Bombyx mori: one gene and its partner. The protein of the gene in region 1 interacts with the protein of each later gene in a pairwise test. Links are inferred from orthologs where the notes say so. Each region holds a gene or a part of one and is shown on either strand. Other genes may lie near its edges.

The links.
Region 2: the proteins of dynactin subunit 2 (region 1) and growth arrest and DNA damage-inducible protein GADD45 alpha interact in binary tests that used the Homo sapiens proteins (3 or more experiments, as listed by UniProt). The link is inferred for Bombyx mori from reciprocal best matches to the Homo sapiens genes DCTN2 and GADD45A.

Annotation. Positions count from the first base shown.
Region 1 is NC_085114.1:13,901,020-13,904,850, forward strand, and holds part of dynactin subunit 2, read left to right. Parts: intron 1-607; coding exon 608-714; intron 715-2,161; coding exon 2,162-2,278; intron 2,279-3,765; coding exon 3,766-3,831. UniProt on the Homo sapiens protein: Part of the dynactin complex that activates the molecular motor dynein for ultra-processive transport along microtubules. In the dynactin soulder domain, binds the ACTR1A filament and acts as a molecular ruler to determine the length.
Region 2 is NC_085134.1:418,467-422,501, reverse strand, and holds growth arrest and DNA damage-inducible protein GADD45 alpha, read left to right. Parts: upstream 1-1,712; 5' UTR 1,713-2,180; coding exon 2,181-2,242; intron 2,243-2,399; coding exon of another isoform or gene 2,400-2,447; exon of another isoform or gene 2,448-2,462; intron 2,463-2,518; coding exon 2,519-2,735; intron 2,736-2,947; coding exon 2,948-3,163; 3' UTR 3,164-3,527; downstream 3,528-4,035. Other genes in the region: electron transfer flavoprotein beta subunit lysine methyltransferase, read right to left, coding at 2,400-2,447. UniProt on the Homo sapiens protein: In T-cells, functions as a regulator of p38 MAPKs by inhibiting p88 phosphorylation and activity.

The DNA of each region.
Region 1 (3,831 bases):
TATACCTCTATAAGCGACAGTCGAGCTTTATTTATTTATATTATTTAGGAGGAACAACTGACAAAACAAATTACAAATTTAACATCTACTATTTTATGACTCATTCTTAACTTTCGTGGAACTTCTTACCGTTGTTTTTGTATTTTTTTCTCGTCAATATTGAACCTATTCTATTTCGTGGAACTAAATAAAATTGTTATTTTATCGCATTCTTTTCGACTGGACACGTGTGCCTGTGTACCGTCCTGTTTGTCGGCCTTACTCAGTTTATCGTTAATCAATTGCGAAGGAAAGTTCTGTTCTGCATCATGTCAAAATGGAAAATTAAAGTACTGTCATTAAGTAATAAACTTAAAATAGTGAATGCGTTTGAATCCGGAAATTCGCGAAATGAAATTCAGAGGGAGCATTAGCGAGAAACTCGGGTTAGTGAGAAACCTCTATAAGCGAGAATGAGATTGTGCTCCCTTGAACTCTCGCTTATCCAGGTTTGACTGTACAAAGTTGCAGACAGCAGTTAAATCGCTTGCTAGATGGCCAGTTTATCGTGAAGCAATGAAGCGGTCTTGCGTTTATGACACCCCAAAAATGGTTCATTTTTGTGCAGGAAGAGTTCTCCAAGTTGGCCGTACAAATCAACACAACGAAGAAACTTCTGGAAGAATTGAAACTTGAAGAAGGAGAACAAATTGACCCTAAGGCCGAGAAACTAAAGTAAATAGATTTATTTTTACAATAGAATCGCAATTCGGGTTTATCTGTCTGTTACTTATCAATAGACTCCTTGAATCAAGCCACGCTCCGCTGCGACCACGACTAAATGCATGAAATATTAAATAAAATCGTCTTACATTAATGTAACAATGGCAAGAACCTTCACCGAAGTTGCTAACAATTACAAAGTTTCTAGTCAAACAGATAAGCAATGTTCAAAACACACAAATATCAATTTTAATATTGCTAAATATGTAGATAGTACGACCGAAGAAGACGGATGGACTGTGTGAATGACGATATGAGAGAGAGAGGAGTGAGTGTTGAGATGACGGCTGATAGAAGAGAATGGAAGAGAAAAATTAGCTGTGCCGACCCCACCTAGTGGGATAAGGTGGAGAAAAAGAAGAAGATGTAGATAGTACGAGTTGGAATTGATTAGTTTCGTAATGCAGTTATCGATGTTTGCTTGGTGCATTTATGTACCTCAAGCACCGGTCACCGTTCTCGTCGAACCTGTCGCTTGTGACGAGGGGTTCGGCGAGCAAATTAACCCTCAGACACATCCCACTGTGTTTCTCGTCAGATCTTCTCAGTGAGTCGCGTTTCCCATTCTGCGAAGCGCTCTTGCTAGGGCTAATGGTAGCAAATTTGTCAGGTTAAAGTACGGTAAGCTCACCCACTCGCTTGATTAAGCTGGCATAACCTCTCAAAGTTACCAGCATAAGTTGGGAAAAAAGACGTTTCGAATATGATTTTATGCTGTTCCAAAAACAATAAATCATTCATTGTGAAAAAAAAACATTGCGGATTAAAGACTGTAGACAAATCCCTACTGTACTTACATTATGTCTTAATGTTAATACTTAGATCTCATTTCTCAAAGTTTATTATATAATAAAAAAAACATCATGGGTCAGTCAGTAAATAATGTTGCAAGCTTATTAAATAAATATGAAAAAATATATATACAGAGTGTCCCAGAAAGAATGGATAATCCTGAAACACCTCATAGTAGAGCTATTGGGGACACAAAATAAACAAAATTCTCAGGTAGTACCCTAATTACGTATTTAAAAAAAACTTGATATTGTCTATACTGCTGTGCGTTTCTGGAATATACAACAGCTACAAATAAATGAAATCCATAGGCTTTTTGGTGTTATAATATTCTACATAGACGGAATATGCAAGAAATCGTTGAGTAGCTAATGTAATTTTTTATAATAGTTAATCTGAACTTCAATTTTAATCATGAAATTTTGTTATTTTTTCTTTATTTTTAATTTGGGTATTAGGTACCTAACAAATATATTTTTATTATTTTTCATTTTGAGTCCCCAATAGCTCTGCTATGAGGTGTTTCAGGATTATCCATTCTTTCTGGGACACCCTGTATATATTGTATTTTTGTCAAAAGTGGAAAGGAATCGAACTGTAATTACAGGGAGTACCTGTCGTCGAACGGCAGGAAGAAGCAGGGTGAGCTGATCACGGCGCAGCTGAAGTTGAAGCCTGAAATAAGCCTCGCGCAGACCACAAGGGTTGCTCAACTCGAGCACAGGTAACGAAATAGCCAAACATTAAGTAGTTTCTATTGTGAATAACCAACAAATAATATTAGCAGATTAAAAAGTAGCCTATAGTAGAATTATTTTGTCCGTGCAGTTTGGGTCATAAAAAATCGGAGAGCGGTGAAGCGAGTATTTCGCTCTCTCTTCCACTCACGAGCCTTATGGACGGGCATAGTGATACGCATTATTGTCGATAAGCGCTATCGATAGTGTATTTAGTTTTGTCATTTTGTGGGTTAGTGATAAAAATGAAAGAAAAATCACTAATCGAACACTTACACCACATGCAAATTAACGAGAACGGCAGAAATTAACACTGTAACTTTTCGGGATCTATTCTCATTTCAGTGAAAAATTTTAACACATTGTTGATAACAACAAGAAGTCGTCGTGGCCTAAAGGATAAAACGCCCGGTGCATTCGTATGTAGCGATACACCGGTGTTCGAATCCCGCAGGCGGGTACCAATTTTTCTAATGAAATACGTACTCAACAAATGTTCACGATTGACTTCCACGGTGAAGGAATAACATCGTGTAATAAAAATCAAACCCGCAAGTGCAAGTGCAAATATTATTTTGAATAAACTCTAAGTACAAATGACTCGTAACATAACAATGTCTTACCACCCCGCCGCCGTGTACCTGCCTTCGATGACTCATTTGTTTTTATCGATAATGGCGTTACGCCCGCGCAACATGCTCACCGCCCTAGCCGGGCTATGTTTTATGACCCAAACTGCACGGACAAAATAATTCTACTACAGTTCAATAAATAACGATTTGATGAACATTTGCGCACTCCGGAGTACTTTTCTTACCGGTAATGTGTTGTGGAAGGTTCGTTGGCATGATGTATTTACTGTCACCGGCCCGTCATTGTATCCGGAACTCATAAGAATTTTTGACATGAACCCTTGAGACATGAGGTCGACGTCTCAATCATATTGTAAACCGGCTGTCCGACCTCACAAACCGACCGATAGGACCGCGGTGCTTGCCCGAGCAAGCTATATTGCCTTACTCTACTTATTACTACTAAATAACATTTTAATATAATTTTGTGAGTTACATTTTTTTTATTGCCTAGATGGTTGAACGAGCTCACAGCCCACCTGATGTTTAGTGGTTACCGGACCCATAGACATCTATAACGTAAATGCCGCCACCCACCTTGAGATATGACTTCAAAGGTCTTTTTTTTTTATTGATTAGATGGGTGGACGAGCTCACAGCCCACCTGGTGTTAAGTGGTTACGGGAGCCCATAGACATCCACAACGTAAATGCGCCACCCACCTTGAGATATTAGTTCAAAGGTCTCAGTATAATTACAACAGCTGCCCCGTTCTTCAAACCAAAACACGTTACTGCTTCACGGCAGAAATAGGCAGGGTGGTGGTACCTACTCGTGCGGACTCACGAGAGGTCCTACCACCAGTAAGAGTTAGCTTTTTCAATTTCACTTTTAATCTATAGATTACACAAATTAGAGCAGGCTGCCGGCGTGAGGGATGAGGAGGCGTTCCGACGACTCCAAGCTGC
Region 2 (4,035 bases), on another chromosome or scaffold:
TGGACGGAAAACCGTGCCCAGCAGTGGGATGATAAGTCTGATTTTCTCTCCTTGAGGACAAACTATTAACCTTGTCGAATAACATTGACTTTGTGATAATGGCAACCAGACATCGTTCAGCTATTACTCACGAGATCAACAGTATGATAACAACAATCATTAATAATATCTTGATAATTATCATGTTATTATCATTGTGTTTGCCGGTGGCATTGCCCCTGTTAACTTGTTAGGACACGATTTGACTTGTTCGGCGGTGATCCTTGGAATAGAACCGTTCGAAGTATGTCACTTGTGCATGGTAATATTGACGTCAATATTATACACATAAATAATAGATTTTAGTATAGTAAAATTACATTGATCGAGAATAGTAATTGTTACCTGGTGTTAAATGATGAATATGTCTTTTTTAGTGCACTTAACAACGTGTTTCTTGATATTGGGTTGAGTAACACGACGCCATAATGCGAGTTTGTTTGTTTCTAACAGACGTGAAAAACAAACTCACTTTTGCATACAATTTGACTGCTTTGGATACACTAGAAATCATTTACGTTGCTGATGTCCATGGGCTCCGGTAACCACTTAACACTACGTGGGCCACGAGGTCATTGACCCTGCTAAGCAAAAAAATAAGAAAGAGTCGCTCTCACGTTCGACACTAACATCTCATGTGCTATAGAAAGTAAAAACTTCAAAAAAACACGGTTTTTTTAATTTACGTTTGAGGTAAAAAAATAAGTAGCTAATGATATACTCAAACTAACGTATTTATATGAATGTCTTCCTCCTCGCTCTGATGCAGGTAATGGAATTGTGGTGGAGACTATTAAAATACATCGACTTCTGAAGTTGGGTAGGTAGGTACAAGGATAGTAGTAACATTTTCACTGGACTTTTTGGCGGGAACGCGAGCAGTGAAGTTGTGTGATTTGTTTTATTTTGTCTATTTAGTGTTTCTTCAGGTTTAAATGTGTAATAACGGTGGTTTATTAAATGTTTAATATCTGTGAAAGTGCACCAATGTGGGAAAATGAAACAAAGCTGCTGGACGTAACTTCTCGGGTTCCTCCAAAAAGTCCACTGAAAAAATCTCAGTAAATGACCACCATTTTACTGCGATTATATTTCATCCCATATCATCTCATTTCATTAAATTTCATCCCAGTTGATTAATGTCTCAAATTAATCATCTTCATTTCATTTCACTCCATATTATCATTTTTCATAAAATTAAGAATATAAAGTAAAATAAGACATGACTTAAAGGTCTTAGTTACCAGGTCATAAAATCTCTTAAAAAAAAAAAAAACATTTTCACTACCTGCCCATAACTTCAAATAAATTCTATCCTGTCGTAACACTAGAAGAAATGCCCATTAGAAGTTTTCTCATCTTGCCGTCATGGCTCTACAATAAATATACTAAAGTCCTTGTACCTATTGAAAACGAATGTTTCATTACAAATAAAAAAACAACTAAACCAGAATCAAACCCAATTTTTGTTTTCAAATGAACCATATTTCCTCTGTTGAAATAAAAACCCAATGTAGCGGGAATTCCGATATTCTCCAATGCGCTTAACGATAACAAAAAATACCTTGACCTACCGTTCTGATAGTACCTACCCTTTTCTGGCCGCATTTACTTCAAAAAAGAAGAACGGGGTAGCTCCAACTAAATTGGTCCTTAAACAAGTCGCGACAAGCCACGCGTTCGCATTTCAGAAAAAACCACTCACACACACGTACCACGTGCCACGTATCATTATTATTATCTCGTATATACACTTACAGACTTACACTAGTTAAAACGACTCACACAACCGAAAATACAAGCGTTTTTCGAAGAAACTCCGACGAAACTGATCGGAGGATACGCACACATACAAATACTAGCGTGCGCATGCGCGGCCTTTCCAATAAAAGGGAACGCTACGTCACTTCTCCACATTCTACATTGAACATCCAAAGTGTACTAACGCGAGTTTCGTTAGCAAAGTTGTGAAATTATTGTGTCACAAGTTCGAATTACTGCGAGAAGTTCAAGTGTGTTTACATAATAGAAGGATTTTATGTAAAGTGTTAGTGCTTTCTGTGAAAATTCACATTCGGATTTCACTGCGGAGTTTGGAAATTAGTGAAATTCAAGAGTTAAGAAGCATTCGTCTATCCAAAATGTACAAGGAAGCAGTTGTTCCAGTAAAAGCCGAGACCTTCAGTGTCATAGCAGCTAAAAGGTAAATAAATATCTTAATACTTTACAGCTACAACAGGAAAAATTCAATATGCATAAACTAAAATGAATATTTCACAAGAATTTCACTTGACCTAGATCAAAGAACTTTAAAGTTCTAATAACTTCAAACATGCCAATTAGACTATAAATTGACGTACCTTATGCTTTTGATAATAATATTTTGTTTGTAGTATGGCGGTTAGCATCTCCGTTTGACATGCAAGAGACTAAAGTTTTTGGTAACATATAATTTATTAATGTATTTGTTTTCCCACAGCTCTATCGGACAATGTATCAAGACAGTGTTAAGGCGAGCCTGTGTCGAAAAAAGGTTAACTATTGGCTTACTTCCCGCCATTCAATACTTATCGAAGAACTGCAATGGTGCATTGTTTTGCCTGACCGCCGAAGCCCCGCCTGGCGATAGTGCAACGCATATGCAAGATGTCCTCCTGCAAGCATTTTGCGTTGAAAATGATATTCATGTTATTAAAGTGAGTTTCATTTTATTTCCTTCTTCATAAAATGAATTATACATAGTTATTATTAATTTTATATGACAATTTAGTTTCCACGAAGTAAAAAAAGTCATTAAAATTTCCGACTCTCTAACAAGAACCTATTAATCGAATTTATAACGATTCAAGGAATTAAGTTAAAAGGAATCAAAATAAAAAAGCTAACAAATTCGTTTCTTTGTACACAGGTCGATTGTGAGACTAAGCTGAGGAGAATGCTTGGTTACTGCTCTCCCATGGACTTCAGTTGCGTGCTGGTACACTATCCGTATACAGATCCATTCACAGACAGTCAAGAAATAGATTTATCAACATTATCTGAAGCCGAGAGACAGTTGATCGACCACTGCGAATCAGACTGGGGCTATTCACAAATGCCCGTCATCAAGTTGCCCGAGAAGTGAATTAAACATGAGGATATTATTGTGAAAAGAAAATTTTGCGATATTATTTTTCAAGTAGGTCGCCATTTTGGCTTAGGCACAACGCCATCTGTTGTTTGGTAGTTGCATTAAGTCTGCTTGAGAATGTTTTGGGGTTTGTTTTGAATTAAAATAATTTAAAAATTGATAGAGAGCAATTTGTAAAATGTAGGTGCTAAACTGCTACTGTCTTAAAATGTAAAAGTGTTTTTTTCATTGTTTCATAAGATAGTTTAATGTAACGAAAAATGTATTTATTATATCTTTATACCAATTTCGTAATAAATCTTTTGTAAAAGTTAAAACATAATAAACATGAATAAAATTTTATTTTATTTGTAACAAAGTTTCTTTTTTTCCCGCTTTTTCCCCTAAATATAATCTTAAGTTAAAAAGAAAAAGATTCCAGAAAGAAGCACAAGCAAGATAGATACCCATGATATTGAACTGTCAATAATATCAGGACAATAAATTTAGATAAACAATTTAAATAATTAATTTATGGTAGGAGCATCGTATAATGGAATTTTAATAAAAAATATGCTTAAGGTTCATCAGAAATTGAAATTTAGTATTTGCTGGAATTCTTGTATTTATCTATACTTCATAATATTACAAATCTGAAGTTTGTTTGTTTGAACACGCTAATCTCAGGAAATATTAATTGGTCCGATTTGAAAAATTATTTGTGTTAAAGATAACCCATTTATTGAGGAAGACGGCTATATAACATCTCTCTAAGACAAGTGGAGCACCAATAAAGAATGTTTCAAAATAGGGGTTTACATAGCTCCTTAACATTCTATAATTCAAAAATATTTTCACTTTCTATGTAAATGAAGTAGATGTAAAAT